Oryctolagus cuniculus: one gene and its partners. The protein of the gene in region 2 purifies or fractionates together with the protein of the main gene of each other region. This does not show direct contact. Links are inferred from orthologs where the notes say so. Each region holds a gene or a part of one and is shown on either strand. Other genes may lie near its edges.

Region 1 (5,946 bases), on a different chromosome or scaffold from region 2:
CATATGGGAGTGAACCAGCAGATGGAGGACACATCTCTCTCTTTCTCTCTCCCTCTTTCTCTGTAGCTCCTTCCAAATAAATAAAATGAATCTTTTAAAAAGAAAGAGACTTAAACAGCTATATACCAAGTTTCAAAGCAGCATTATTCACAATAGCCAGAGGGTGCAAACAACCCAAATGCCCATCAATGGGTGAATGATTAAGCAAAATGTGGTGCACACATGCAACGGAATACTACTCAGCCCTGAAAAATGAAATGGTGACATATGCTACAATAGGTACAAAGTAAGTGAAATAAACCAAACACAAAGCGACAAATATCATATGATTCCACTTATATTGAGGTACACAGAATAGATTCCTAGAGACAGAAAGTAGAACGGTGGCTAGCAGAGGCCATGGAAAGAGGGGAACGGGGAACTCTTGTTTAATGGGTACAGAGTTTCAATAAGATAAACAAGTTCTGGAGACTGATGATGCTGCTGACTGCACAACAGCTGAATGTAGCTGATGCCGCAGAACTGCACACATAAACCAGGTAAGGGTGCGGTGGCACCGTGGTGCAGTGGGTTAATTGCTGCACCACTTCATTGTGCTGGCAGCCTATAATGAAGCACCAGCTGGGTTCCAGTCGCCCTGCTTTCAATCCCGCTCCCTGCTAATATGCCTGGGAAGGCAGCAGAAGACAGCCCAAGTGCCTGAGACCCTGACACCAACATGGGGGACCAGGCTGGAGTTCCTAGCTCCTGGCTCCAGGGTGGGCCAGACCAGCCATTTGGGGAGTGAACCAGAGGATGGAAGACCTCCCTCTGTCTGTCCCTCCTCTGTCATCCTGCCTTTGAAACGAGTAAATCACTTGGAAAAAAAAGAAAGTTGAAATGGTGAGGTTTCGCCGGCGCCGCGGCTCACTAGGCTAATCCTCCACCTAGCGGCGCCGGCACACCGGGTTCTAGTCCCGGTTGGGGCGCCGGATTCTGTCCCGGTTGCCCCTCTTCCAGGCCAGCTCTCTGCTGTGGCCAGGGAGTGCAGTGGAGGATGGCCCAGGTGCTTGGGCCCTGCACCCCATGGGAGACCAGGATAAGCACCTGGCTCCTGTCATCGGATCAGCGCGGTGCGCCGGCCGTAGCGCGCCGGCTGCGGCGGCAATTGGAGGGTGAACCAACGGCAAAGGAAGACCTTTCTCTCTGTCTCTCTCTCTGTCCATTCTGCCTGTCAAAAAAAAAAAAGAAAAAGAAAAAGAAATGGTGAGGTTTATGTAGATTTTTTTGTCATAAAAAATGGAGGGGCTAGCACTATGGTGTGGCAGGTAAAGCTGCCACCTGCAGTGCTGGCATCCCATATGGGCTCTGGTTTGAGTCCCAGCTGCTCCACTTCTGATCCAGCTCTCTGCTGTGGCCTGGGAAAGCAGTACAAGATGGCCCAAGTCCTTGGGCCCCTGCACCTGTGTGGGAGACTCAGAAGAAGCTCCTAGCTCCTACCTTCAGATCGGCACAGTTCCGGCCGTTGCTGCCACCAGAGGAGTGAACCAGCAGATGGAAGACCTCTCTCTCTGCCTCTGCCTCTCTATAATTCTGCCTCTCAAACAAAGAAATAAATCTTTGAATTAAAAAAAAAAAAAAAAGGAAAAGGTACAGAAAAGCTGGTTAGCCAAACTGGAAAGCAAATTATGTTTCAACATTATACCCCACATAGAAATAGATTCCATTTGAAAAGCGAAACTTTTTAAAACTCTTAGAAGAAAATACAGGAATACACAATTCATACTCTGAGGCAGAGAAAGGTTTCTTAAACTAGACCCACACACTCAAAAGACAAGCCATTTAAAGGAAATCCTCCATGAATATCACATTAAAACTTAAAACGCCTGGAAAGGGAAAGCCAAGCAGGATGCATCGGCCAAAGGTTCCAATCCAAAGCAGCCTAAGTGTTCCTGGTGAAAGAAGGGCACAGACTGACTTCACACTACACAGAGCAGCGAGAAATCAACGGGCCACAGTCCGGAGCAGCAGCCTGGTAAACCTCCATCCACTGCCATCTGAAATGTGGACCCCTGCGACCCAGCATTTCTCTTTCATTCACAGCCACAACGGTCACTGACGCAAAAACGATTAATAAATTGCACTTCTGTGCAAGACCCGAAGGCAAGCGGGAAGACACGAGGCCATGGAGACACTCAGAAGACCCCTAACACTCCACCATGGGAAAGTCTCAAAAACATGCTCTCAGTGGAAAACAAGTCGCAAAACGACGGGAGCACCAGGATGTCATTAGGGCAGGGGAGAGAGCGCATGTTCTCTGTAGTGCCCGTGTGTGCGTGAAAACGCAGAGAAAGATCTGGAAGAACCACACCAGACAGTGGGCTCTGTGGAGAAAGGACTCGCCGGGGGCCTCCTATTCCGCCTGTGCAGGTGTGCGTCCCAGCCACAGCACCCCACGCGCGGCACACACTGCGGGGGCTGCCTGCACGGGAACCGCAGCCCGAAGCCTGGCAGCACGCAGCTGGCACAAGCAGACGCCGAGGCTCCGCGCTTGTGTAATCAGAAGTAAGGGAAAAGGGGGAGGGAGGGGCTGCAGAGCCGCAGGAGGCAACTCTCCGGGGAGCTGGAAATTTCCATACCTTGCCCGGGACAGCGGCTACAAAGTGCCTATGGTTTTCCAAATATCCAAGTGTACACGAAGAATGCGCCTTTTATCATATATATGCAAACTGTACATCGGCAAAGTTAATTTTAAAATAAATGCATCCATAAGATAAGATACAGTCAGGAAAGTCTGGAAGAAGGTGCCCAGAATTGCAGAAATGAGGCGCCCCAAAACAAGAACTCGCCGACACCTGCCGGCTGCCCCTTAAGTTCAAAGGCCCTCCAGGAAAAAGAGGGAGCCCTCTGCAAGGCTGACCACCCTATTTTTTATATAAGGAAACAAGCAAAGACGCAAATTAAAAGGCAAGTTGAAATTCTATTGGTTCGAAGTCTCATTTCCCACCGTGAGCAGAAATCCTGTGCGCGGCACAGCAGACACCAAGAGCCGAGCCCCCGCCGGCACGACCCCCTCCCGGGCAACTCCGCTCTGCAACCCGGGAGCCCAAAGACCAGGCTGGAGGTGACGGGTCCAAACCGCGGCCGAGGGCGGGACCGCAGGGACCCCCACCCCCCAGCCGAGGTCCCAGGACCAGGGCGAGTCCCCAGCACGCGCCAGCCCGCGCCGCCGCCGGGGACGCGCCCGGGCCCACACCGAGCGCTCGGGGGACGCCCCCTGCCCCCGGCCCCCGGCCCGACCCAGCGCCCGGGGCTGCCTCGGCGGACAGAGTCGGGGGCGGCCGCGGGTCTGCGCTCGCGTCGGGAAGCAGGGGAACTTCCTTTCTCTTCCCAAGTCTGCCGGACCCGCTCCTGCCCTCGACGCGGGACCCTCGGGATGCCCCCGCAGCCCCGCCGCGCGCCGCCCGGCCCTTCCCGCCGCACTCCGCAAGCCGCCGCGCGCGCGGCTCCGACCAGTCCGGACCCGGGGCGCGGGGCGCCCGCCGCTTTGTGTCGCGCCCGCAGCCCCCGCGCAGGCCCGGGCCGGCAGGTTCTCGCCGAGGCGCCTCAGGGAGCAGGGCGTGCGGGAAGCGGCGAGGAAGCCTCCCTCCGCCCGGGCCTGCCCGCCTCACCTGCCTCGCCCGGCACCCGCCTCAGCGCCCCTCCCCGGCCGGGCCGCCGCAGCCGCCGCGGGCTCCCCACCTGGCTCGAAGCTGGGGGCGTCGGCGAGGGCCCGCGCGGCCGCAGCCTCCTCCGCGTCTCCTGCCCGGCCCCCCTCGCCTGAGACTGCGGCAGCGGCGGCGGCGGCGGCTGCTGTTCAGGCCCCGGAGCCGCCCCCGCGGCGGACGTCCTCCGCGCCGGCCCGCGCCGCCTCCTGCCCGGCACGCGCAGCGAGCCCGCCCCCGGCGCGAGGGCGAGGGCGAGGGCGAGGGCGAGGGCGCGAGGCGCAGGGGCGGGCGCGCGCCGCCGGGGAGCGCGCGGGCGGAGGCGGGGCTTCCGCCGCGCGGGCGGGCGGGGGCGGGGCGAGTTCCCGCCCCCGCCCCGCCCCGTCCGGAACCGAGCGGCGAGCGCGCGCGAGCACTGGAGCGGGGCTGGTTGGGGGCCGCGGCTCGGAGCTGGCTGCTGCGCACGGGCATCCTAGGCGTCGCAGCTCTGTGGAGCAGGGGGCGGGAGAGGGCGTGTGGTGTGAGGGTCTCCGCTGCCGCCCTGAGCTCGCCTGGCGCCCGCCCCTCCCTCTGCAGCCGCGAAGGGACCGGCCACCCGCAACTAAGGGACGCGAGCGCAAACGCCGGGTTCATAAAGAACTGTGGGAGTTTTTTCTTTTTTTTAAGATGCATTTATTTGAAAGTTGCAGAGAGCAAGAGAGAGTCTTCCACCCGCTGGTTCACTCCCCAGATGGTCGCAAGGGGCTGGGGCTGGGCCAGGCAGGAGCCAGGAGCTTCTTCCAGGTCTCCCACGCTTGTGCAGGGGCCCAAGGACTTGGGTCATCCTCCACTGCTTTCCCAAGCCACAGCAGAGAGCTGGATGGGAAGTGGAGCAGCCGGGACTCAGGCTGAGGCTGTACCCGCGGTGCCATCACACCAGCCCGTTTGTTCGTTTTTACTGAGCACTCACAGTGTGGTAGGCGTTGAAAGGGTGAAACATTGGCTCCCTCCTTTGGAGAAAAAAAAATGTGTAAATCACGAAAAATAAATATGTAAATGCAGCTTGGTGTGTTTGCTCATTCACTGAAACCAAGGTAATTCAGTAAGTGAGCTAGCCTGAAGGTCCCTCTGGGCTGGCCGGTGGATGGGAGTGCCTGCTCCAAGTCTTAGCTCCCTCTCCTACACCTCCCCCCTGACGTGCACCCTGGGCAGCAGTACCAGGGCCCGAGTCCGTGGGTCCGCGCCACTCAAGTGGGAATCAGGAGAGGGCGTTCCTGGGTTGGGGCTGGCCTGGCTGTTACAGGATTTGGGGAGTGAACCAGGAAACAGAAGGTGCCCTCCATCGCTGCCTTTCAAATTAAAAAGAAATTTAAAATAAATCAAAATGTTTTTTAAAAGCAGATGGTTTAAGAGAAAAAGCAGTGAAACCTTCTGTCCTACTAGATTCTGCTGTGTTACTACTCCCTCTCCATTTTTTCCCCACAAATATCTTAAAAGTCATCTGTACTCATCTCGACTTCCTCAGCAGGTTCTCGCTCCCCTGACCCACACCCCACCGTGTCGCTGCACTGCTCCCAGTCACAAATGGCTTCTTTGACCCCAAATGCCACATGCCTTTCTTTCAAAAGTATTAGAGAAAGAGAGCCCATCTGCTGATTCATTCCCCAGATGCTCTCAACAGCAAGAGCAGGGCCAGGCCAAAGCCAGGAGGCAGAAATGCAATCCAAGTCTCCAGTACAGGAGGCAAGGACCCAAGTGCTTGAGCCCTCACCTGCTGCCTCCCAGGGTGCACATCAGCGGGAAGCTGGACTCCTGAGTAGAGCAGGGGCCCGCACTGTAGCTTCCGTGGGTTAAGCTGCTGCCTGCAGCGCCAGCATCCCATATGGGCACAGGTTCAGTCCTGGCTGAACCACTTCTGATCCAGCTCCCCGCTAATGTGCATGGGAAGGCAGCAGAGGATGGCCCAAGTCCTTGGGCCCCTGCACCCGCGTCAGAGACCTGGAAGAAGCTCCTGGCTCCTGGCTTCAGATTGGTGAAGCTACGGCCGTTGCGGCCAACTGGGGAGTGAACCAGCAGATGGAAGACCTCTCTCTCTCTCTCTCTCTCTCTCTCACTGCCTCTCCTCTCTCTGTGTAACTCTGACTTTCAAATAAATAAATAAATCTTTAAAAAAATAAAAGTACAGGCAGGGCTCACAGCCAAGCACTCCAATGTAGGATGCAGCCTTCTCCATGCCCACAGCTACCAGAACACCCAGTAGCACCTTCCTGGTTTTGAAACTCCC
Region 2 (6,107 bases):
GAGTATTATCTCCTGTTCTGAGCGACCACTTTTGGGGGAAGGAGGTGACGGGGCCCCAGGCAGCGATCTGGACTCTTGCCTGTCCATGAACGCTCCTGACCTGGACCCCTGGGAGCCGTGGGTGCTCTCTGGCATCAGCAGCAAATACAGTGATGCTGAGAAACATGCAGCCAGTTCCCAAAGCCCTCCTGAGCCCCGGCGTCTCTTCCCTCCCTCCCTTTGCCACTACCGTAGCTCCCCCGTCCCTGGCCACCTCCCTGGGGCCCAGTCCTGGGCTGACCACTTAGCTCTGCCCCCAGAGCTCCGGGCCAGCGCCCCGTGAGGTCCTACGCTGAAGTATACCTGGGGCTCAGGTCTGGGGGCCCGGGCCGGCCAGGGCTAGAGCAGAGAGCGGGAAGAGAGGAGCCAAAGCGGACAGCGGGATCCAGTCTACTGCAGCTGACACTGCAAAGGGCAGTGTGAGGAGGGGCACGCGGGGCAGGGCCAGGGGGCTGAGAAATCAGGGAGAGAGCTTCGAGGGGCACGAATCCCAGCCCCTTCCCCCTCCGCCCACACCTCCACCCACCCACGGCCCAGCCCGCGGGCCCTCCTACCCTGCTGGTGGCCCGGCTGCTATCCCTCCTCCCGAGGGCTCTGAGCAGCCTCTCCACAGGGCCGCTGGGCTTCATGCTGTCCCACTAGCTGGGGTGCTGGCTGGCCGGCCTGGGGGGCCCTGAACAATGCTGGGGCCTGGCCTGGGGCTTCCGCAGCTTCCCCTGGGCGGCGGGCAGGCTGTGTGGCGGTGTGAGGAGAAGCCCAGCCCTGGAAGTGGAGGGAAGTGCCGGCGGGAAGGGGGCAGGTCGCAGCTCCAGGAAGTGGGGGGGGGGAGGATGTGGGGGAGGCCAGGAGATCAGATTCCCAGGATCTGTCCCGCTGGGAGCGTCAGCCCAGGACCTGGTGCTCCCCTGCTTGGGCTCAGGGCTGGGGAGCTGGCCCCGGGATCCCCCGGCCCAGGCACCCTGATCTGGGAAGGGAGCCCGCCCTCAGGGATCGGCCCCCCGCTGGGGCAGGGCGGGGTGGGAATTTAGGTCTCTGGGCAGGGCTCAAGGGCCAGTGGGGAACAGTGTGTCCTGGCCAGCCTCCCAGCCTGCACTCTCCTGGGACTTCCGGTGGGGAGGGAGGGCAGCTGGGAGCCAGCACCCTGCTGGCTGAGGATCCTGAGTGGATGCCGCCCGGCTCCCTCCTGGTCTCAGCTGTGCTGGTTAGGATGTGAGAAAGAGAAGCAAGGGCCGGCTGCCCTCACTCTCCACCCCCCCCACCCCCCACATTGGCCAGGCCCACCTGAGCCAGCTGCTCACCAGCCCCCCATCCACACCGTCTCCCCGCTCCAGCCCAACCGCAACTCCCAAGCCCCTGCAAGCCAGGCCTTCAGCCCAGGGACCCTGCCCCATCCCCACGGGGCATCCTGAGGACTGGGCAGGGCGCCCCCTCCCAATACAGTCCAGCCTGCTCCAGGGCCTCCTGCCTCCCTGCTGGGAACATGGCCAACTTCCTGCCCCAGAAGTCTAGAGGAGGAGGTGGTGATGCGGGCTCGGAGTGGAGGGAGTCATCTTCCTAGCACACAAGGGGTTAATGCCCCCCCAGAGTGGGGGGCGGTCCTCAGCCCTGGATGAAGCCCCAAGCCCCTTGGACTTGTGGGTAGCTGTCACCCGAAAGAAGGGGCGACTGGGCCCCCTCCTCGGCATTTGCACACCCTGGCATCTCCCATGGGGGCCCTGGCCTGGCCTCCTCCTCCCTCATGCCCGTCCAGATGGAAGGCTCTGGATACTTTGCGGGACACTTCTGAGGACCTGCCCGGGCCTGGGTCCGGCCCGGGCCTCTACCTGGGAGCTCTAACCTTCCAGGACAGACTATCCATTCCCCCATGCCCACCGTGGCCCCCTGGAGGTACCTGGCCAGAAGGTGGCACCTGTGTGGCCAGGCCTGGGCCCCTCCCCCTGGCTGTACCACAAGCCATTCCAAGGTCCTGGCCCTGTGGGCACTTGGGCCTGGTCTGGCATCCAAGCCGTTAGGGGCAGAAGGTGCCCTGAGCAGGGCGGGGTGGGGTACAGTGGGTGGGATTTCTGCCTGTCCTTTGCTCCTGTGGCCTGTGGCCCTGGCCCGGCCCCCTCCACAGGCCCCCAAGTCCCTCACTTGGAACAGGGCCTCTGATACCAGTGGTCTGTCTCTGCACCCAGGCCCTGCAAGACACTCCACCAGGGGCACTGCCAGCATCTGCCCTGAGCAGGGCCCCCAGGGGAGCCGGGCCAAGGTCCCTAGGAGCCACAGCTTGTTGCGGGGAGGGGGGAGGTGGGGGGGCCGGCCCTCGCCCACCTCCTGCCTGGTACAGTCCGAAGCTTGTCTGCCTCTCCCCGGCCGGGCCCCCAGCTCCCTCCCAAACCCAGGGTTTGTTTGGAGAAACCCCTCCACCCACACCCCCCTTCCTGGAAATAGCTGTGGTTGGATGCGAGACTGGGAGCCCGCCCGCCCCGGGTGCAGGCGTGAGGCCCAGGCAAGGAGCGCCGGAGCAGGCGGCGTGGCCGGGTGTGCCCGGAGCATCTGGTGGAGTGAGGGCAGAGGCGCGCGTTGGCCGACGAGCGGGCCACTCCTGGGCCCGCTCTCGGCCTGTGTCCCAGAGCAGGCAAGGGGGGACGCGCGCGCACACACGCGCAGCCAAGCCGGCCCGAGCGCGGCTGCTGCTCGCCCCCGCCCAGCTCGCGGGCCTGTGTGTGCCGGGACCACGGCGCCTCGTGCGGCGGGCGCGCCACAGAGTGCGGGCCGCGTGTGCGCCAGGACGCGGGAAGGCGTGGCGGCGAGGGCCCGCGGCGGCCTGCCCCGCCCCCTGGTCACCTTCACGGCCTCCGAGCGTCCCCTCCGCGGTCCGGGGCGCGGGGCCCAGCCCGCCGCGCGCCCCGCACCCCCTCGCCCCCTGGCGCCCGCCCTCGGCACTGCCCGCACGGCTGTGACGCAGACGCCGCCGCCGCCCGCCCCGCGCGCCGCGGCCACTCACCTGCGGGGGGCGCCCGGCGGCGCGGGGGCGCGGCGGGGCGGGGCAGCAGCAGGGGGAGCCCCCGGGCCAGCCCATCGCGGCCGGGTCCGCGCCGAGCGGGATGCGGAGGCGGCGGCGGCGGGCGCGCCGCGCTCGGCTGGGCTCCCTCCGGCTCCCGCCGCGCCCCGCGCCCGCGGCCGCTCTCTCCTCCCCCGCTCCCGCCCGCCCCGGCTCCAATCCCCACGTCCCGCCCGCTCCCCGCCCCTCGTCCTCCTCCTCTCTCCCTCTTCTCCTCCCCATCTTCTCCCGCGAACCCACACTCACAAAGAGCTGAGAGGCGAGGACGCAGGGCCCGGCGGAGAGGCCGGGTCAGGGAGCGAGTCGGGGACAGGAGGAGCCGAGCGGTGGGGAGAGGGGTTGGGAGAAGCCCGGGGACGGGGAGTCCAGCGGCGCGACCCGGGCAGGCAGGCAGATGCCGAAGGAAGGGTGCACGTGGGTCCAGCAGGCACTGGAAGCGAGGGCTCACAGCCTGTCGGCCCCGCCACGCCACAGCAGTGCGTGGGATTGGGCCTGGCCCTGAGGGTCGGCACCAGCATCGTTGAAGACCCCTGATGCTGCTGGTGTCCCGAGTCCCTGGACACCTTGCCCCGAGTGAGCTAGTCTCCCTAAGAGGCTCCCAGCCCAGGATGTCCGCATGGGGTTCAAGCCCCTCCCATCCCTTGCCCCGCTCTCTGGGGGCAATCCCACCCCCCAGGTATGGCTGCGAAGGGCTTCACGTGTCCGTCACTGTCTTCAGTGTCTGGATGCTACCTAGTACGGGCTAGGAGCTTCCTGGAAGGGAGCTAAGGGACCCCCGAGGACTGGAGGGGAAGGTGGGGGGAGGGGGCTCCGTCCTAGAGCCCTGAGCCGGTTGTCACTCCAAGGCCCCAGTTCTTTAGCAGTGAGCACTCCCGGACACACGCTGGCCCTCCCTCACCTCACCGCCCCCCCCCCCCCGCGCCCCAGATTTTCCATGATGAAAACAGGGGGGCGGGGAGAGGATTCTGAGAAGCCGGTGCCCAGGGCGGAAGGCCCAGTGCCTGCCCACTACTGACTCTTGGGGCCCCTCTGGGCTCATCCTGTCTTTGGCCAAGGCCGGGGAGCCTGGTTCTGATTAGGAGGGGCGGGGCACTGCTTTCTACTCTGGCAGCGGGAAGAGGCCCCAGGAGACAGGCAGAGCCGGCTGGGGGCTGGGGAGCCTCCATCTTGCTCCTGGCAGAGGTTAGGGCAGTGCTGGGTGCCACGGGGGTCTGGAAGGGCGGAGTGGAGGCTGGGGGTGGGGGAGGACCTGAGAGAAGCTGGCCTTAGGGAAGGCTCCGGGAGCGCAGAGGCTGCTGAGTCAAGGAAAGGGCCTGCGGTCATTCTGTGACCTCCAGCGAGGCACCTGAACTAGGAGATTGGTCATTTCTTTGGAGCCTGCAGCTCCTTGCGGTCACTGGCCAGGTGCTGGGCTGCATGCAGTGGGGCCGGCTCTCTTCCCTAAAGGTAGGAAGTGGCCTGGCTCCCGAGGGGGGTGGGGCCACAGCCTCCCATTCAGCTGCTGCCGGTGGGTGGGGGGTGGTGGCGGTGGTGGCAGGGCAAAGAGGAACTTGTGAGGGTCCCAGGATTTGGGAGAGGCTCAGGGGATGGGCAGCTGAGCTCTGTGCTCACACGGGGGTCTGCCTGCCCGAGCCAGCCAGGCGTCCTGAGAAGCAGCCAGAGCCTCGGGGAGCCCAGCAGAGCGAGGGGAGGGGAGGAGGAAGGGAAAGCCTGGCAGAGGCTGAGAGGCGGAGCGGACCTCCCTCCACGCAAGCCGGCTTACCTTGAGCAGGCAGAGGGCGGCCCATCTTGCCGCTGACGGGGGCACCTCCTCCTCCTTCTCCGTGGTCTGGGGCGACCCCATAGCCGTAACAGTGCACTCAGATCTCAGGGGTGGAAGACCACCCGGAGGGCTCCGGTGCTGGGAACCAGGCAGAGCAGGGAGAAAGGCGGCTCTCCTGGCTGAGGACAGAGGGTGCTTTGTCCGTCCCAGAGGTCGCTACAGCTGGGCGGGGAGCAGTGGTCTCTTCCAAACTTTTTTGGGGGGAGGTGGAGGGAGGGCAAGTCCGCGGCTCTGGTGGCCCTGGGGGCTATGGCGGTTGCTGAGAAACGATCTGACAAATAATGCTTCCCAGGAGCAGATGTGCAGCCCCCCCACTTCCTGAGAAACCAGATGCGGAGCTCTGGGGGGTGCCGCCCTCAGCTCCAGCTGGAACCCTCAGGGGCCTGAGACCCGAGCGTAGCCCTGTTCCGGGAATAGACAGCGTGGACCAGGACACCCAGGCCAAGCAGCCCAAGGCAGACCCAAGTGGCTGGCAGAGAGGGCTGGGGGTCCGGGCCCCATCCCTGCAGCCGGGCTCCTGGGAGGGGCCCCGCATCTCTGAGGCCGGGCCAGAGCTGAGCTTTTCCTTGAGAGTATACTTACACAGGGAGTTCCTCTCTCAGCATAGCTTTCTCCACTTCCCATCTGCAGGAGTGGCTTTGGGCAAAGGCCTGGAGGGGACAGAGGGGGAGCCTATGGCCGCTGCGGGCAGCCTGGGCAGCTCTCCCCCACATGAAGGCTTTCCTGTCATCTTGGCAGATGAAACTCTAGCTACCCAGAGTTCAGCTGGGAAAGCAGCTGCTGCAGCTGACCCAGAACGTGACCTTGCTAACAGCTCCCAGTCCCCAACAGTGCAGACTGAAGTCCCCTGGGCTTCCTTGTGCTCCACCTCCGCATGACCTTAGGGCTCATCCACCACTGTCCTAACCCCCTGCCTGCCTTCCAACAATGCCCAGCTTGTCTTTGGCCATTTGGAAAATCCCCACGGCTCCAGGTCCTCCATCAGCACTCTCAAGGAGCTGCGGGCAGGAGGCAAGGCCTCAGGGCCCAGGGCCCTCTCCTCCCAGTGCTGGGCAAATTACAGAGGGCTTCTGAGCCCCATGAGCGATGCAAGTTAACACCAGGGGGAGCTGGGATGCAAATTCCCAGACCTTGTAGGCAGTGGAACCCCAGCCTCGGATCTTGCACTTGGGAGGGGGGAGGGGGAGGGGGGAAAGGCCA
Region 3 (5,482 bases), on a different chromosome or scaffold from region 2:
TTTTAATGAAAATAAATTAAAATATGTGCACAATGTCAGTGACAAAAATAAAAAATGAAATTTATATTTAGAAACTATACTTTTTGTGTGTTCTTCAAATAATAACCCACTGGTAAAAACTTAACAAAAATTTCAGCAAAACCCAGTAAGGAAACATTAAGAGAGATTTCTTAAAATTCTTCTCTCTGGGTCTAGTTGAAAAGAGAGAAGTCACCAAATGGAGACAATGTAGTATCAATAAGACACACTTGTACATTATATCTCTCATATTCTGCTACTGAAATTATTTTAAGAGGAAAAATTAACTTGCCTTTGAGAGAGAAATCTTAAGATATCCTAATTACATTCAATGCAAAAAGAGAGAATTTAAGTCCAAGTTTAATTTGCACACAGTTGAAAAGAAAAAAATTAAATGTTACACAAGCCCAACATTATGAATAATTATACATTAAGGATGCTTGGTGTGGGAGAGGCTTTGGACTTTTGTTATCTTTAGATTGTGGACCATTAGCATACTGACATATGTTGAGGATGGGACCCAAATCTAAACATGAGATTCATTTATGTTATATGTTTTATATATAAAGTATAATGATCTTATATAATATTTTAATAATTTTGTGCATGAAACAAAGCTTCATGGTGCGAAATTCTCCACTTGTGGCATCACGTCAGAGATTAAAATATTTTGGATTTTGAACCAGTTCTGATTTCAGAATTTGGGATTATGGATTCTCAACGTGTAATAAGATTTGGATATTTCATATGCAAAATATCCACATGATTGTACTTTTGGTATTTCTCAGATAGGCTGCAGGTGTGATGTTGGGAAAGTTCTTTGGACTAGACACAGATCATAGTGGTACTATTAAAATAGGCAGATCTTTGTGATATGATACAAAAATAAATCCTAGAATCCCATTTTGAGGAGCTTTTAAATTGGGTATAATTAACTGAGAGGTGAATTTGAACAGATAATCAGATTACAGAACTACTGAGGGTCATTATTCACATAAAAAAGGAAGAACAGAAGAGAGGGTGAGGGGAGAGAAGAGAGATTACTCTTATTAAAAAGTCCTCGTTATCTTCTAGGACATAGATGATTGACACAGGTGTTGCACAGTTTGAAAATTACTTTTCAAAATATTGTATTTGCTACCTTAAGCACGTCTTCTTTTTGCTGGGGTTTCTTTTTCTCAGATTCATCCAAAAGTGTATCAGCCTGAATGATCCATTTTGTGATGTGATCTACATTCTGGTCAAAGGTTTCCATGTGTTTCTGGTATTCCTTAAATGTACAGAGACGTGTAATGACATTATTGGTTAGAAAACATTCTTAAAGGACTGTTTTCTACTCTCTACAAGACTAAAAAGACAAAAATACATATGTATCATAATTTAAATTACTTTTAAGTAGAACATTCACGTAAAATATAACACATAGAGAAAAACATATTAAAATTAGTTATGGACAATGAATTTAGAGCAGGGTATATGTGGATTTGACGAATTTTCATATAGGATCTCAGTGAATGTTTACACATTTTTTTTTGATGGAGAGGGATCAAAAATCTTCCAGTGTCTCCTCTTACCAAGAGAAGGTTGAGCCATTCTTCTGCTCGGGAAGTGACAGCTACCCAGTTACTATTCAGAAGACTGAGTTTATCTTCCACCAAGGTCTCCTTCTTGCCCAAAACTGTTTTCAAGGCTTCTCCTAGCTCTATGACACTCTTCAAGTGAGCCTTCTGTTTCTCTACTTCTTTCTGAGTAGCCTGTGAAAAGAACAGCATTGAGATTAAAGTTATATTTTGTAGCCTTAAGATAAAATGGTTGTGAAATGGCAGTGTGTATGGTCACTCTGGTTAGATTTTACAAAGGTTTAAACCTACAACAATGTGTTTATAAACCATAAAAATCAAAGAATATGAAATGCAGTTTCATTGTTGAGCATATATGTATACACAAATGTGGTTAATTTAATTATTTATCTTTGAGTGCACATATTTAATTGCTAAACAAATGTATTGCCCAACTAAATATATTTATCTTGTACATGTCGTGGTTAAAGGTTGACATTCCATTGCTTTTTTTTTTTTTTTTTTGACAGGCAGAGTGGACAGTGAGAGAGAGAGATGGAGAGAAAGGTCTTCCTTTTTGCCGTTGGCTCACCCTCCAATGGCCACCGCGGCCGGCACATCACGCTGATCCGAAGCCAGGAGCCAGGTGCTTCTCCTGGTCTCCCTTGTGGGTGCAGGGCCCAAGCACTTGGGCCATCCTCCACTGCACTCCCTGGCCACAGCAGAGAGCTGGCCTGGAAGAGGGGCAACCAGGACAGAATCCGGCGCCCCAACTGGGACTAGAACCCGGTGTGCCGGCACCGCTAGGTGGAGGCTTAGCCTAGTGAGCCGCGGTGCCGGCCATTCTATTGCTTTTTAAAAAACTTAGAAAGTATGGCACCACTGTCTATCTACATCAAATTTTAGCCTTTTTGTATCATGGATCTCTGGTATCTGATTAAGCTTAATGACCCCTTCTTATCTTAATGCCTACAAAAGCATAAAAGAAAATATACATGGGTTGAAATAAGACCAATTAAGTCAAAATATAATATATGTGTTTCTAAAAATTTTTGTGATGTAGTAATACATGTTTTGTTTCCCAGCATATTAACTAACAGGATCTAGCATCAGGTCACTAAATAGGATAATTTCAAAGTAGCGAGGAATACACTCGTTGCTTCTGTATACCAAGTATACTCAGTGACTGGAACATGATATGAAATATCTGTCATTTCTATCGGTGACCAAGTCACAGCTACTGCTATTATTAGAGTTTGCTTTCAACATTTATAAACAAGAAAAAGTTGAATTTCGGTTACAGGTTAGCTACTATACCTAGAGTTATTTGTAACATCGGTGTCATTTGTTGCACATGAGTGAGCTTAGCAGTTCATTAAAACTGTTCATACAGCAAGCATAAATGTTTATTAAGCTTCTACTAGATGGCAGAAACTCTTGTAGCAGGGTATTTATTTCCATGCAATGTGTTTTTGGAAAATGATAAGAAATGTCTCCTTTGGGTAGAAACAGCCTCTTTGGAAGTTGACTTGTGAATGGACTTGCAATAAATTTCAGCACTTTAAATCCTTCATCTGTTCCCTATACTACTTTTATTATACAAAATTTGATCTTTGTTCGAGACAATGTGGATAAAATGGTAGAGCAGCAGAGAAATGTCCTGTCCTTTGAAAGCTTATATGGGCTAGTCAAAGAAATAAAAATAAGTACAAATGAACATTGTCTATTTCTTATATTTCAGGCTAGTGGCTTATAATTTCAGTTGATTTGTTCACAAAGGTAACACCTTATTAAGTAAAAATTTAATTTACTTTGAGGTCCCTAATTATCTTTGAACATGTCTCTAACTATTATACTGTGCATGCAATATTGTGGCACAGCAGGTTAAGATGTCTCTTGGGACTTCCACATTCCATGTTGGAGTGCCAGTGATCAAGTCTTGTGTCCATATTCCAGTCCACATTCAAGCTAATGTGGCTGGGAGGCACAAGATGCTGGCTCAAGTACTGAGTTCCTACCACCCACATGGAAGAGCCAGACAGAAGTTCTGGTTCCTGGCTTTGGCCCGGCCCAGCAGTGGTTGCTGCAGGCATTTGGTGAATGAGCCAATGGACAGAATCAATCAATCAATCATTCTCTTTAAAATAAATAAAAATGAATAAACATTTAAATGGATCAGACCATTAATCCTTTTCTGCAAGAATATAAAAAGTTATTATGGCTGGCACTGCGCTCACTAGGCTAATCCTCCGCCTTGCGGCGCCGGCACACCGGGTTCTAGTCCCGGTTGGGGCGCTGGATTCTGTCCTGGTTGCCCCTCTTCCAGGCCAGCTCTCTGCTGTGGCCCAGAGAGTGCAGTGGAGGATGGGCCCTGCACCCCATGGGAGACCAGGAGAAGCACCTGGCTCCTGCCTTCGGATCAGCGCGGTGCGCCGGCCGCAGCACGCCGGCCACGGCGGCCATTGGAGGGTGAACCAACGGCAAAGGAAGACCTTTCTCTTCATCCCTCTCTCTCACTGTCCACTCTGCCTGTTAAAAAAATAAAAAGTTATGTACCAAAATCTTTACTTTTTTTTTTTTTTTACATGCCAGGCAATGCAGTTAAAGCTAATGGAAAATTCCAAACTTCAGAAAGGATCAGGGGAAGTTTTGAATTTAGGAAATGTTTCAAAAAATTCCTGGATCATAGAAAATTATTTTATGTCAATTATCTACCAAAATCCTCCACTGAATTTTCAAGGGTGTAGAGATACTGCATAAATGCCTCTGGTGGGGTACACCACCTGAAATTCGAGGCATTGCTGCAATTTCTGCTCACACCAAAACAGGCCAGGGATGGGTACACCTGCCCCAAAGCAATGTGATAATGGGAGCAGCAGGGGGCTAATGGACATAAATTGGTACCTGGAATATTTTTGGGAATTTAAAAAAAAAAAAAACTGTTTGACAGGCAGAGTGGACAGTGAGAGAGAGACAGAGAAAAAGGTTTTCCTTTTCCGTTGGTTCATCCCCCAATGGCTGCTGTGGCTGGCGCACTGCGCTGATCTGAAGCCAGGAGCCAGGTGCTTCTCCTGGTCTCCCATGTGGGTGCAGGGCCCCAGCACTTGGGCCATCTTCCACTGAACTCCCGGGCCACAGCAGAGAGCTGGACTGGAAGAGGAGCAACCGGGACAGAATCCGATGCCCTGACCAGGACTAGAACCTGGAGTGCAGGTGCCTCAGGCAGATTAGCCTAGTGAGCAGTGGCACTGGCCGGGAATTTGTACATTTACAGGAGCATCTAAATGGGCCTGTCTCTGAAGATTTACATCACAGCTCTAATCCCTTTATTAGACCACCAGACTGAATTCCTTTTCCCAGATCCTTAAGTTGATGTATAACCTTGCCTAAGTGCCTGCTGGCTCATAGACTTGCTTGTACCCTCTAAATAAAGGTGGGAGTGCATAGCTATCCAGTGGCATTTTCTTAGAATGGCCACTCCCGTGTTCTGTATCCCCATTTGAAAAACCTCTTCATAAGAGAAAACATTTAATGTCCAATGATATTTCATGCGTTTAATGGAAAAAAGGAAGCAGCAACTAATTTCTAGTGTCTTTTCAGGTTCCAGTATTATTTTGATGTATGACATGATCATAAGTCCACTTTCAAGAGACTTAAGAATAGCCGAATAAGAACTACACTTGAGTCATTAGCTCTAAGGTTTTGCTGACATAGGAAAAACGTCTGATGTGAGTATTTTTCAGTTTAAATATAAATCACTATCAAAGTCTCTATCTTCATATGTTTAATTTGTAATATTTGATACCTCCAGTATGATATAAATATTGAACACTTGCTTTCATGATTTTAAATAAAACATTTGCTGTCAATAATTTTTAAATGTTATTCCAGTATCCTTATAATAA
Region 4 (6,269 bases), on a different chromosome or scaffold from region 2:
CCACCCCAGCAACCGACCGCAGGGCCAGCAGAGCGCAGGAGCATGGGGGCGCGGCGGCCTCTCTTCTGCTCGCTCACAGACCCGGAAGGGGAGGGCGGCGGCGGGAAGCTGCGGTCGGAGGGGGTGCAGAGCTGTCCTCACTGCACCTCAAAACCAGGAAGAGAAACCGAGGTGGCCCAAGGGCAGGCTGTGCTGTGCTGGACAAACCCTGGGCCTCAGTTTCCCTGGGAGGGGGAAGTGGGCGCCTCTCTGCCAATCCGCCTGATGGACGGGTGCAGGCTACGCCCAGCGGGCGGTGCAAGCCGCCTGGTGCCCAATCGAGGCACACCCCCAAATGGTGGCACCCCCCTGAGCCTCAGGCCGGGCGGCCTCACCCCAGCCACGCAGGGAGCACACCGCTTCTCCTTCCCCAGCTCTTTATTTTTAGGTCTGAATTTGACTTTAATCATTAGTTAGCGGATTCTATTTCCAGCCCTTGGATGAAGGGACCGAGAGGGGAGGGAGGAGGGAGGAGGGAGTGCTCCCTGCTGGGCGTGGGGGGCGGCCCTCTCCTCCACCCATCCTGTCCCCGATGAGGGCAGAGGGAACTGAGAAATACCCAGAGGGCTCGCGGCAGCCAGGCCAGCGTCTTGGGGTGGACCCCACCCTGTGACCTCACCGCAGCCTGAGCCGTGAGGCCGGAGGGCGGCAGCGATGCCCGCTTCCCTTGCACCAAGCCGGAAGCCAAAGCCTGGCAGCCAGGGTGCAGGTCCCGCACGCACCTGCCCGTGGGACCCTGCCTGGGTTAGCTCCCGTGCGGCTATGGGGTCTTGGGCCCAGGGAAGGCCAGGCAGAGGCTGGCCGCCACCTCCCTCACCCGCACACTCAGGTGAGGCACACCTGTGGAGGAGGAGGAGGAGGAGGAGGCGGCCGCCCCCACAGTCGGCCCCTCGGCCTTGGGACAGGCTGGGAAGACCAGGCTGGCAGGGTGGGGCCGTGGAGGTGCCCGGATCCTTGTCTGAGCCTCAGGCTCAGGAGGCGTCTGTGTCCAAGGGAGGGCTGCGCTGGCCTCGCCCAAGCCAGGAGGCAGGAGGCCACTGGGCACTCAGCTCGGATGCTGCGAGGCCGGAAGGCTGATGGGTGGGGTCAGGCCGGACACCAACCAGCGGCCGTCTCCCCAGGGCCAGCCCCGGGCCTGGGCCAGCCAATCGCAGGGTGACGGGGAGGGGAAGGCAGGCGAGCTGGGCAGGGCACTGGCCAAAGTAGCCAAGACCCTCCGGCTGGAGGGGGCTCTCTGGGTAGGGACCCCCCCACCTCTGCCCATGACTGGGGCCCTCCCTGCACCCCCTCCCCGTGAGGGGTGAGGAGAGCAAACGGGCTGTGCCAGCATCCCCATTACATAAAGGACCCTGGCTCCGGGGGTCAGGGACCTGTCCATCGTCCATCCACTCTGGCCGACGTGGCGTGGCCGGGCCTGGCACCCGCGTCGGCCAGCTCCTCTCTTGGCTGCTCTTGGGACACACAGGGATGACCCCAGGGACAGAGGGGCGGCACCGCACAGGCCTGGCCCGAGGTGCCCGCGGCCCTCTGCAGCTTTCTGAGGCAAAGTCTCCCGGAGCGCGAGGCCCCCTGGGAAAACGCTCAAACGCAGCATCAGCAGTGGCCGGCGGACGAGGCCTGCGGCCCCCCAGGAAAGCTTGGGGGATTTCTGCTGTTTTCTAAGTTTTTCTGCTTGGCTTTGGTGCTGGTTGTTGCTTTCTAAGTTGGGAAAACTAGCACACCCGTAACTTTTGTACAGTGACCCCAGAACCGCCTCCGCGGACCCCATCTGACCCCCACTCGGGCCCAGGCGCCCGGGCCACTTCTGCCACGGCATAGACCCGTGGGGACACCGCTCTGTGGCCTCTTCCCCAGACTCAACGCCTCTGCCCTTTGGGGACACGTGTCAGGGTTCCGAAAGTCCTCAAGAGGCATGGCACAGAGCTGCACCCGCCACCCGCCCCAGGCTCTGCCGGCTCCACTCCGGGGCGGGGGCACTGAACCTGGCCCCTCTCCCTCTCGGGCTCGGGGCACCACGCGTGGCTCGGCCTCGGCGGAGGCAGGAGGCTCCTGGTGCAACGCAGAGGGAAGAGCGGCCACTTCTGAGAGCCAGGGCGGCCCCGAGGTCACCGAACAGAAACCACATCCCGAAGCCGTCCTCTCCACACAGGCGGGGGCCCTGGCCTGCCCCTCAAAACCCCCCAGGCCTCTCCGGGCAGGCTCTGGCTCCAGGACCTGGCCGGGTCTCCTCTGTGTGTGTCCCAGCAACTGGCAGAACCCTAAAGCAAGGGCGGCCCCCCACACCCTCCCTCCTCTGCCGGGTTTCTGCTGGGACCCCAGGGCCCGGGCCCCTCAGGTGTTCCCGCTCCCCCAGAGTTCCCATGCCAAGGCGCTGCCAACGGGGAGGGGGCTCCCAGGCTCCTGCACAGACAGAGCCGCTGGAGGCGTGGGGAGGCCCGGGTGGGGGCTGACCCCCCCACCCCTCAGAACTCATCCCCTGCAGGGGGCACCCAGCCCCAAGCACCAGGGGGAAATCTCAGGGCTGGGCCGGAAGCCCCCTCTCGCCCTCCTCAGGGGAGCACGTGCTCACCCCACAAGGCCCCCTGGGGCTGGGCCTGCGTCCTTAGTGGGCGAGGGTGCACCCAGGGCTTCCCCCCACCAGCAGCAGCCCCGGCCTCTGAGCTGGGGGCAAGCACTGCCCGCCTCATCGTTCCACCAGAGGCCAGGGGCAGCTGTCCCCCTCTCTGCCCTGCTGAGCCTCAGGTCCCCGCAGGCCGACAAGGGAGCCCCAGTTAAGCTCCCAGGCTCTGGTGGCTGGACACACCCCTTCCTGACACCTGGCCCCGGCCCTGAGGAACCTGGGAGAATGGGCCGAGCCAGGTGGCAGGAGGTGGAGGCACGGCTATGGCCTGGTGTCACCTCCACCCAAGACCCAAGCCCTGCCCATGTCCCCACCCAAGGGTCAGAGATCTCTGAGAGTGACAGGTTCAGGCCCTGGACCTGGGTCTCCGGCAGAACTCAGGGGTCCACTGGGGCTTCCGGCCCGGACCAAGGCAGGGGTCAGGAGCAAGCAGGCCAGGGCACCTGCAGAGGCTCCGGCCCACACCGATGCTCTTCCCCTCCCGGGGGGGGGGGGGCTCCGACCCCCTACCCACCCAGAGCTCCACCAACCGGAGCTGGGGGCCCGACAAGCCCTGTGGGGCTGCAGGCGGTCCCTCCCTCCCTCCCTCCCGGCCGGCTTCTGACAGTGGCTCCCGGGAGAATTCGAACCCGACAACGATGGGGCGCCCCAGGCGGTGGGGGGTGGGGAGTGGACGCGGCGGCGGCGGCGGCCACGGGAGCGGGACGGGCCACCCCCGCGCGCGCCCCCCGCCGCAGGCAGCCGGGCACTCACCTCTGGCGGGGCACTGCGGTCCGGGCGGCATCAGCGGCCTGCGGGACGCTCCGCGCGGCCGGCGGGCAGGGGCGGGGCGGGGGTCCCCGGGGGAGCGGCACAAAGAGCGGCGGCACGGCCCGGCGGAGGCAGGGGGCGGCCGCGCGGCCCGGGCCGGGCGCGAAGAAAGGCGGCGGCGGAAGGGGGCGCAAACAATGTGGCCCGCGCGGCCCGGCGGAGTTCCGCTTCCCCGCGCCGCCCCGAGGCTCGCCGGGCGGACGTCGCGCCGGCGGCCGGGGGGCCCGCCCCGCACGCTCGATCGGGGCCGGGGGCCGCGAGCTGCACGCCCCGCGGGCTCGGCGGCCGGGCGAGGGCTGGGCGGGCGGGACGGCGGCCGCGGACGCCCCGACGGCGGCGCGCGCGCGCGCGCGCTCGGACCCCGCCCGGCAGGACCCCGGGGCGGCGGCGCGCGCGCTGCGGCGGGCGGGCGGGGGGCGCGGGGGGCGCGGCGGCGGCGGCGGCCACCCTCGGCTCGCCCGTGCTCCGCGGGAGGAAGCTCGCAGGCCCCGGCGAGAGGAAGCGCGGCCCGGATCTCCGCCCGCCGCAGCGCGCCTGCGCGAGGGCCTGCCCGGCGCGGCGGGGCGCGGGCGGCGCCCCCTGTCGGGCGCCGGGGACACCGCGGGGGGTGTGTCCGCGCCGGGCCTCGCGGGGCTGGCCGTGCGAGGGTCCGTCCCAGCCGCACCCCCGGCCCGCGCGCCGGCCCCGGGTCCGTGTACGGAGAGCGCGCCCTCGCCTCGCGCAGGGGGCGCTCCTTGGTGCGCGCAGGCTCCTCGGGCCCTGCCAGGGGGGCTCCTAGGAGGACCGCTCGGTCGCCGTCCGGGGGTTCTCGGAGGGTGGGCGGCAGACTGGCGGGCCCAGAGGCGCTCGCCAAGCGGGAGGTGATGGAAGGGTGGAGGTGGTGCGCCAGGTGCAGCGGTGGGAGCTGGGCTCCTGCAGCCACAGGGCTGGGAGAGTCCGGACAGCCTCCCCGGGACCCTCTTGGACTTCACGCTCAGCCTGTAGGTGACAGTGAGGGAGTAAGTGGTCAGTAGCTGAGTGACCCTGGGCCGGTGTCTGAACCTGTCTGTCTCTGCATTTGATAAAACGAGGGAAATAACAGCTTGTGCGTCTCTGGGGTTTGTGGAGAGGAAATGAGTTAATATGTCTAAATTGTTTTGCGTGCAGCCGCCGGCGCACGTGGTGGGCCCTCGGTTAAGTACGGGCTGTTATCATTCACCGCCGTGGAGGAGGGGCGGGGAGGGGGCCAGCCCGGAGCTGCAGGAGCTGGCAGTGGGCTCAGTCGTGGGCAGGCGGACCTGGAGTTTACGGGCACCTTCTGGGAACTGGCCCTGGAGCCAGGGTCTGATGTAGGGAGACAGGAGGATGGGCGTTCTCCCTGGTGGACCAGACCCATTGGCAAAGTCCCGAGGGACCAAAGGCACGAGGGGGCCATGGAGACTTTGGGGGCCCAGAGGAGGGAGAGGGAGCACCTATGATGCTGGGAGTTGGAGACCACCGTGCCCCTGCTCCCCCCCCCCGAGGAGTGGCAGGTTGGCCCTCTGACCCCTGGGAGGAGGCACCCAGAGATGGGTGCGGGGTGATGTTGAAAGAGTGTGGATTTGGGTTCAGCTCTCAGAGTTCAGCCTCCTGGGGCTGTGCGACCTTGGGCTAGTTACTTAAGGTCTCTGGGCCCAGTTTCCTCTTTTGTAAGATGAGGTGTGCACCTCCCTCCCGAGAGTAGAGGTGGTGCAGATTCAGCAAGATAAGAGCGGGTGGAGGGGCTGGCGGGGGTGGAGGGGCTGGCGCTGGCTTAGCTGCTTTCTCTCTCCTCTGAAGGCGAGATGGACCGATAACCGGGCTGGCGGATGGAGGGGGGGTGCCTCTGGGCCTGGGGGAGGCTGTCGCTCTGCAGAGGCTTCTGGAAGGAAGTGATTGACACGTCCCTCCCCCGGGGGCTGGGTCAGCTGGTGGAATGGGAAAGCAGCCCCTGGGGGGACGTGGAGAGAAGGAATTCCCCTTCCAGTGTGGTCACCAGCCTGGGTGCCTTGGACCCCAAACGCACTTGACATTTCCACTGCGCTGGGGCCGGGGTTTGAACTTTGGAGCCAAACAAACCTGTGTTGGAATCCTGGCTCCACCTCTTCTCTGCAGAGTGAAATACATGTTGTAGCCTTCCTCACCCCCAATGTTGTAGCCTTCCTCACGCGCAGCCCCTGGGGGTACCGTCAGCAAAGTCTCCTCCGCCCCCCACCTGCCCCGTGCTGTGCTGTTTACAACAGCCCAGTCAGTGCCTCCCAGCCTCTCCCGGTCACTCACTCGGTGGACACTGCTCTGGGGATGCTGCGAGCAGGCAGGGTGGGCCACACCCCGGGAAGGGCCTGAGCTGAAGAGTGGGGGAGGTGGCTCTCGACACTGCTGTCCACACAGTGCCTCTCTGGCCGGGGAGGCTGCAGGTGCAGGGCTGGCCGCTTGGGGCTGGAGCTGCCGGGAAGACAGGGCCAGGCTGGGGTGACACGCAACACCTCGTCCTAGGACAGTGTTGGAGACACCTGTGCAAGGTGGAGACGTCGGCCTGCCCAGGCTGGCCCACGTGTCCCCTGCGTGGTGGGGTGGGGGGCAGAGGGGAGCTGAGCGGCTGGAGCCTCCGCGGGGCGTGGGGCGTGGGCGGAGCTCTCCCGGCTTCCGGCTGCACTCAGGAGCCACAGCCCACGCAGAGCCGGGTTGGTGGCCAGAAGCCAGAGCACCGTGCAGCCAGGGTTCCCTCCCCTGCCTCCTCCCCTCCCCCGAGATGACAGTTTAGAGAAGCAGAGCGGGTGTGAAACTGCTCGACACTCGCACG
Region 5 (6,276 bases), on a different chromosome or scaffold from region 2:
AAGTGAGTAACAACGCTTTGAGGGAGGTATTAACACCATCCTGGTATTTCGAGGAAGCTGAGCTTGAGCAAGATTAAGTAACTTGCCTAGGGGTTACAAACCACTGGCCAGAAACCTGCTTCTGACCACAAAGCCCTGGCTCCTATTCGACCCCTGCTGGATACAGCACCGTCTCGGTGTCTTGCACTTCTGTGTCTTTACTGGACCCACTGCTCCCTTCTTAGGAGAAGGCTCAGCTTCAACTTCCAGGCACCCACAACCTCCCACTAGGAGCTACTCCCATCGAGAACCCATATACACCTCCCCCTCCTTTATGCTGTGTCCTCTCCAGACTTCACTGTAACAGTTCTTTATTTGTCTGCATTCTCTCACCACCAACCTGCCCCTGCCTTCTCTCCCTCTTACCCCTCCCCTTCAACTCTGAACTTCCTGAGGGCAAGAATCCGGTATCTGCAATGTCTCTAGCCCGTGAGGAAAGCTGAATAAACATGAAAGAGTGAAAGAGTGAGCAATCCTTACAAATCCCTGAGATAAAATAGAACCCTTGAGCTCTGTTCCCTCACCCCAGGCAAACAGAGACTACATAGCTGTCCTTGGCATGGGGGTGGCAAGAGCATGCCTGAAATGCCCTGCCACACCCCAAAAGGGCATCACTGACTTCTAAGGCAGCTAACAGAAGGAGAGTGGAGCTTAAAAACTTGAAGGACTAAGAATAAAATCTGTCTCTTAAAAATAGCCCACGTGGATGGGACAGCGGCTCTGAGACTTAAACAATGTTTGACTGATTCACTCAAACCATGGTTTGTGTTTGTGTGTGATTTTGCATATTTTGAGTAATTCTATTTTTATACGCCTTGGTTTAAGAATTCAGCATAAACCCACCATACTGACTTCCCCATACCTAGAGACAGAAATTATAAGAAAAAGAGGGCAGATTGGTGCCTCCTCACACAGGGCACCCAAATGTAAGAAAAACAGAGAAGAGACAGAATACAAACTCACAGCCAGGCCGAATTTATTCAGAGAAAACAAATCTGCAGAGGTGGGCAACCAACTGCCAGTGCACACACAGACTGAACACGTGGCAGAGGGCCCAGACCCTAGGGGCTGGGCCTTTTTATGTCTTAGGTGGGCTATGTCTCTGTTCCATCAGAAACTGCTTGTCTTATACAAAATGGGAAAATAAAATAGTCTACATATTAGGTGAAAAGGCATTTAATAAGTATATTAATTATACTGCAATCTATAAACACTCTTGCTAAAACCACATGTAGCCTAGTTTAGACTAATGAATACTGAGAAGAATTTACTAAGTGGTTTTCATTTTACTAGTATGAATTTCAAGTTCAAACTACATCTAAATAAAAACCATTGTTTTGGTTTTTGCAATACAGAGTAAGAGGTTGAACTGTTTGCCTAGTTCCAGTGAGTACTACATAAATAGCACTAAATTCAATATTGTGGTTCTAAGAATTTATAACCAAATGCTTAGCTAGGCTCATTTTAAGATACATATTTAGGATGATTTTTTTACACACAACCGACCATTCTGCTCCTTTTATTAATTCGAATTTCCAAACTGTGTCTAGCCCCACCTCCAAATGAGATATAAATAAAATTTATAAATAGGGCATTAAAAAGGTGGGACACTGGAATTTCACAACTAGAGCACATTTTAAATCATTTACTTGCAAACTTAATATTTTTTCCAAATCTTTGCAAGCAGATCTGTAAAAAAGCAAAAGTCATTTTGCCAAAGTTAAGACTCGATTTGTCGACTGGTCCCCCTCATCCCAGCCTTCCCCCGCTCTCTTACACTGCCAAATATATCCTCCTGACTAATCTCTGCCAGTACACGTCCATCACTTCCTCAGAGACCCAGCGCAAAACTCAGACACTTGAAAGGGTCCTCCCTGACCAATCGCACTTCCATTAATGATCTGCTGACTTCGCATTCCTGTGGCATTCCTATATAGTTTGCACCACAAAATTAAAAAGTTGATTTTTTTTCTCCCCCAAAGTTCAGCATTTTTCTATTATTTCCCCAACCAGAGACCAAACAGGGACAGGAACGTCATTTTTCCTCTCTTCCACGCAGTCAACAACACACGCTTCTCAAGGACTGAATCAACAGTTCAATTTTTGAGGGAAGCAACTGACTTCTCATTTACAATTTCGTGTAAAAATACCAAGTCCAACATCCATGAAGCCGGAGAGAATTCATTCTGCCCTAGCTCCATAAACGCATCATCAAAAGCTCCAACCTATAGATCACACACAGACCGAAGACTGTTTAAACGCTGTTTTGTGCTTTGCCATTTCAAGTCGCTTCGACAAAGCCTAATAGTCTCGGAACAGCACGCCTGTGAGCGCTAGGAAGCTGGCAGCGCTCTCTTGCAAAAGGGGCAAAACTCTGGTTGGCAGTGAGTGTTGAAACACGTGAGCCTCCACGGTTAAACAAGGCTCATTAACCACACAAGACTTGCTGCTTCAGCTCTCCGGCTTCAATGGAGTTCTGTGATCTCCGCCGGTTATTGTTGAGAGCCAACGATGGGTTAAATTCCCATAAATTAACTAACGTTTTGGTGGCTTGCCCAAGCACAACTGCTGGCATCGATGGAGCTGGGTTTTATTTTTATTTCTTTAATAGACCCGCCCGCCCAGGGGAGCCCGGAGGTGAGAGCCGAAAGCGCCAGGCCGGCACTTCTGAGCGGGCACACACGCAGAGCTGCGGAGTCGCCGCGTCGGGTCCCGCCGCAGCTCTTAGCGCCAGCTTAGCGCCGCCGCCTTCGGCTCCATCTCCGCCGAGTAGTCCTGCCCAGGGGCTGCAAGCCACACGTCGGCGGCGGCCGGCCCAACTTTTCCTGCAAGCAGCATCAGCTTTTCGACACTCAAGAGTCCCAGGACACCGGCTCCGAGGGATAGGAGGAGGGGCTGGGTCAACCTTGCCAAGGGGGCAGAAACAAAGTGAGCGCCGGACGGCGCAGCCCGGCCGGGCCCAGGCCGCCCCCGCCCGCCCGCCCGCCCGGACAGCCGGCCCCGCTCACCCTCCAGCAGCACCTCCTTGCCCGCGCGCTTCAGCGCCTGCACGGCCTGGTCGTGGGTGGCCTGGCGCAGGTCCGTGCCGTTCACCGACAGGATGGCGTCGCCCAGCCGCAGAGCCCGGCTCTGGTCGGCCGCCAGCCCCGGGAAGATCTTGGAGATGAGGATCGGCATCCGGTTCTCGCGGCCGCCCTTGATGCTGATGCCCAGGCCGCCCGCCTCCTGCTTCACCACCCGCACCCGGCGCACGGGCGGCGACGCGCCCGCCTCGCCCGCGGGGCTCCGCGGCGGCGCCGGCGGGCTCGGGGACCCCAGGCCGCGGCTCGGGCTCCCAGGCAGCGAGTCGCCGGCGCCGCCGCCGTTCGGGAGGCCGTTGAAGGCGGCCGCTGCCGGCCCCAGAGCGGGCTCGGGGTCGGCTCCCGCGGCGTCACCGGTCAGGCTCAGGCTCTCCCCGCTCAGCTCGGCCACCACTCGGACCCAGCGCTCCCTCAGGAGCAGCTCCACCAGCCCCGCTTTAGTGGCCCGCGTCCACACCGCCATGGCCGGCCCCGCTCCCGCCGCCGCAGCTACCCTCATTCCAGTCAGGCAGCCTCAGCGCTTCCCCCTTCCCGCCCGAGGGGGCGGGCCCGGCCCCTCCCCCGCGGCGATGCATTATTCATGAGGGACACGCCCACCTCCCGGGCGGGGCGGGGCGAGGCCGGCGGAGCGGCTTCCGGGAGGTTAAGAGGCTGTCCTGCGCCTTACAGCTCCTGGGACGTGGGTAGCCCCCGGTGGGGGGTAGGGGAGGCTCCATCTCACACTCTCCTCCCATTGCGTTCCCTACAGGCCCCCAAACTGCTGACCTCTCCCGCGCAATGCACGGGAGCTGCGTAGGCACAGAAAGTAAAAGCAGCTTGGAGAAGCACCTTGCAAGCCTGCCAGACTAAGTGGCACGTTCATTCTTGCTCTGGTTTACTCTGTTCGTGTGAGCTGTGCACTCGGGCCCCTTCTGTGGCGCTGGCCATAAGCTGAATCAAATATACCACACCTGAAGCTTGCGGTCTGGTGGGGAAGGAAAATGCAGAGCCAACCCAACGAGCTGTGATACTATGTGGTTAAGTGATGTATAGAAAACTCCCCCGGAGCAGACTAAAAAGGGCCTCCGTTTGGTCCCGGGGTCCGCATCACAGAGGCTGACAATGGAGGGTGATAGCTGGAGCAGATGGAACAGCATATGCATGGTCTAGAGGCATGATTCCAAGACGGTGTCACCCTGCTTCGTAATCACCCGTTTTCTTGCCTGTAATTAGAGGGGGACGCTGTCTTCTTAAGTCCTGGGGCCATACCAGGCGGGCTTCAAAGATGTTTGCACAATGTATCAGCCAGGCTTCTCCAGAGCAACACTTCAGTAGGATATACAGACACACTAGAGATTCATCCTGAGGAACTGTCCCTAGACGGCGACCCCGAGTACCAGGATCTGCCACTGCAAACTAGAGCCCCAGGGAAGTTGATGGTGCGGTTCCAATCCCACCACTGAGCACCTGGAAACCAATGCTGTAAGGCTGAGACGGCAGGCCCCCAGAACGGGGTGGGGCCTGGAGGTGTGGTTTCAGTGTTGGTCTAAGAAATAGGGGCAGGAAACCGTGAGGAACTAAGCAAGCCCCAGCTCCGGCAGTGTGCATGCACCCTCCCTCTGTTCTGTTCAGGCCCTCACCTGATTGGAGGATACCTGCCCACATTGCTAAGGGGAATCTTTATTCAGTTCAGCACTCACACACTAATCTGTTCCAGAAACACCCACACAGACACACCCAGAAATAATGTTCCGCCAGCCATCCAGGCATCCCTTAGCTCAGTCAAGTTGACACATAAACGTAATCATCGCACATGGGTACTCAGGAAGATGACAGAATTCCAATGTGAAGAGAGCACAGGCTCAGTGGGTGTGTCTGGATTTGAATGTGAAAAGCCTCATATCAAATATCCAGGAATTTGGACCTGACTTTGTAGAGGGGACTGTCCTATCCTAGAGGCCATGGTCTCGTGTTGGGGCAAGTACAGATGGGCAGCCTCAGGAACTGTAATGCAAACTTTGGACTCTGAGGGCCCAGAAACACACTGCTGAAATCGGAAACTCTCGGGAAATTTATGAGGTCAAGATGTTCTTTAACTTTCCTTCAGCAGCAAAAGCAAAATCCCTACTCTCATTTAGGCAGCAACAGGCTGTGAGAACAGCAGTGTGCAGCCGTCCCTGTAAAGGGCATTGGTTTCTTGCTTGTTCAGGATGTACACGTTGAGGCTCGTAGGCCATAGCCATGCATCATTCTGCAAGTGCACGTGCATGTGCAAGCAGAAGCTTACAAAGAGCTTCCTGCACCAGGAGTTAAACAGTATAAATAGAGACTCGGAAGCATCCAGAGTCCAGATGAAGAATTAAAGATGAGAAAAGTACCTTACCAAAGAAATCATGATGACAGAATCTCCACTGCAATTAGTGGAGCAGGCTTTTCCAAGTTGCAAATGTCAGCAAAAGCTCAACCTTCCAGCCCTCTCCTAAATCAGCGGCACTGGAGTCAGCTCACTGTTCTAGAGGTCCCGGCGTGCCCAAGTGCACCTGCAGTCACAGACATTTCTGGCTGTGCGCCAGCGGAGGCATGAGCCCCAGGAGACCTGAGTTATGGGAAATTTTTGCTTATTAGAGAGCATTTGGCAGTGCATTCTTTGGAGTTTGAGCGTTATTTTTAACACCTCTGCATATGTAATCACCCAAAGGTTGCACATTTGAGGACACCTTTATTAGCAAAAGGAAGTACTGGAAATTTTTAGAGTATTAAGACCTTTTTGTTAATAGAGTTGAAGGAAGTTACAGATCTTCCAACCAATAGTAAGTGAGAGTACTTACTTAAGAAAGCAAGTTATGTAACAAAATATTTAATCCTAGGAGAAGGTAATGGAGATCGGTATTTGGATTATTTCCATTAAAAAAAAAATCCCCAACTAGGGCCTGGTGTTGTAGTATGGCAGGTAAAGTCACCACCAATAATGCTGGTATCTCATATTAGTGTTGGTTTGAAACTCAGCTTCTCTACTTCTTAGCCAGCTAGCTCCCTGCTAATGCATCTAGGAAAGTAGCGGAAGACGGCCCAAGTGTTTGGGCCCTTGTTCCCATGCGGAAGACCTGGAAGAAGTTCCTGGCTTCTGGCTCCAATTTGGCCCAGTCCTGGCAATTGCAGCCATTTGGAGAATGAACCA

The links.
Region 1: the proteins of TNS2 (region 2) and DTNB purify together in Homo sapiens (affinity purification with mass spectrometry; 3 studies listed by BioGRID and IntAct, with this or other methods). This does not show direct contact. The link is inferred for Oryctolagus cuniculus from reciprocal best matches to the Homo sapiens genes TNS2 and DTNB.
Region 3: the proteins of TNS2 (region 2) and DMD purify together in Homo sapiens (affinity purification with mass spectrometry; 3 studies listed by BioGRID and IntAct, with this or other methods). This does not show direct contact. The link is inferred for Oryctolagus cuniculus from reciprocal best matches to the Homo sapiens genes TNS2 and DMD.
Region 4: the proteins of TNS2 (region 2) and CSK purify together in Homo sapiens (affinity purification with mass spectrometry; 6 studies listed by BioGRID and IntAct, with this or other methods). This does not show direct contact. The link is inferred for Oryctolagus cuniculus from reciprocal best matches to the Homo sapiens genes TNS2 and CSK.
Region 5: the proteins of TNS2 (region 2) and SNTB2 purify together in Homo sapiens (affinity purification with mass spectrometry; 4 studies listed by BioGRID and IntAct, with this or other methods). This does not show direct contact. The link is inferred for Oryctolagus cuniculus from reciprocal best matches to the Homo sapiens genes TNS2 and SNTB2.

What each region holds. Positions count from the first base shown.
Region 1 is NC_091433.1:177,084,465-177,090,410, reverse strand, and holds the start of DTNB (dystrobrevin beta), read right to left. Parts: upstream 3,939-5,946; 5' UTR 3,651-3,938; intron 1-3,650.
Region 2 is NC_091442.1:56,108,608-56,114,714, reverse strand, and holds the start of TNS2 (tensin-2), read right to left. Parts: upstream 3,635-6,107; 5' UTR 3,308-3,634; coding exon 3,029-3,307; intron 810-3,028; exon of another isoform or gene 669-809; coding exon of another isoform or gene 594-668; intron 1-593. UniProt on the Homo sapiens protein: Tyrosine-protein phosphatase which regulates cell motility, proliferation and muscle-response to insulin. Phosphatase activity is mediated by binding to phosphatidylinositol-3,4,5-triphosphate (PtdIns(3,4,5)P3) via the SH2 domain.
Region 3 is NC_091453.1:18,963,302-18,968,783, forward strand, and holds part of DMD (dystrophin), read right to left. Parts: intron 1,773-5,482; coding exon 1,593-1,772; intron 1,289-1,592; coding exon 1,160-1,288; intron 1-1,159. UniProt on the Homo sapiens protein: Anchors the extracellular matrix to the cytoskeleton via F-actin. Ligand for dystroglycan.
Region 4 is NC_091443.1:108,910,528-108,916,796, forward strand, and holds the start of CSK (tyrosine-protein kinase CSK), read right to left. Parts: upstream 3,762-6,269; 5' UTR 3,413-3,761; intron 1-3,412. UniProt on the Homo sapiens protein: Non-receptor tyrosine-protein kinase that plays an important role in the regulation of cell growth, differentiation, migration and immune response.
Region 5 is NC_091449.1:52,276,869-52,283,144, reverse strand, and holds the start of SNTB2 (beta-2-syntrophin), read right to left. Parts: upstream 3,671-6,276; 5' UTR 3,619-3,670; coding exon 3,048-3,618; intron 1-3,047. UniProt on the Homo sapiens protein: Adapter protein that binds to and probably organizes the subcellular localization of a variety of membrane proteins. May link various receptors to the actin cytoskeleton and the dystrophin glycoprotein complex.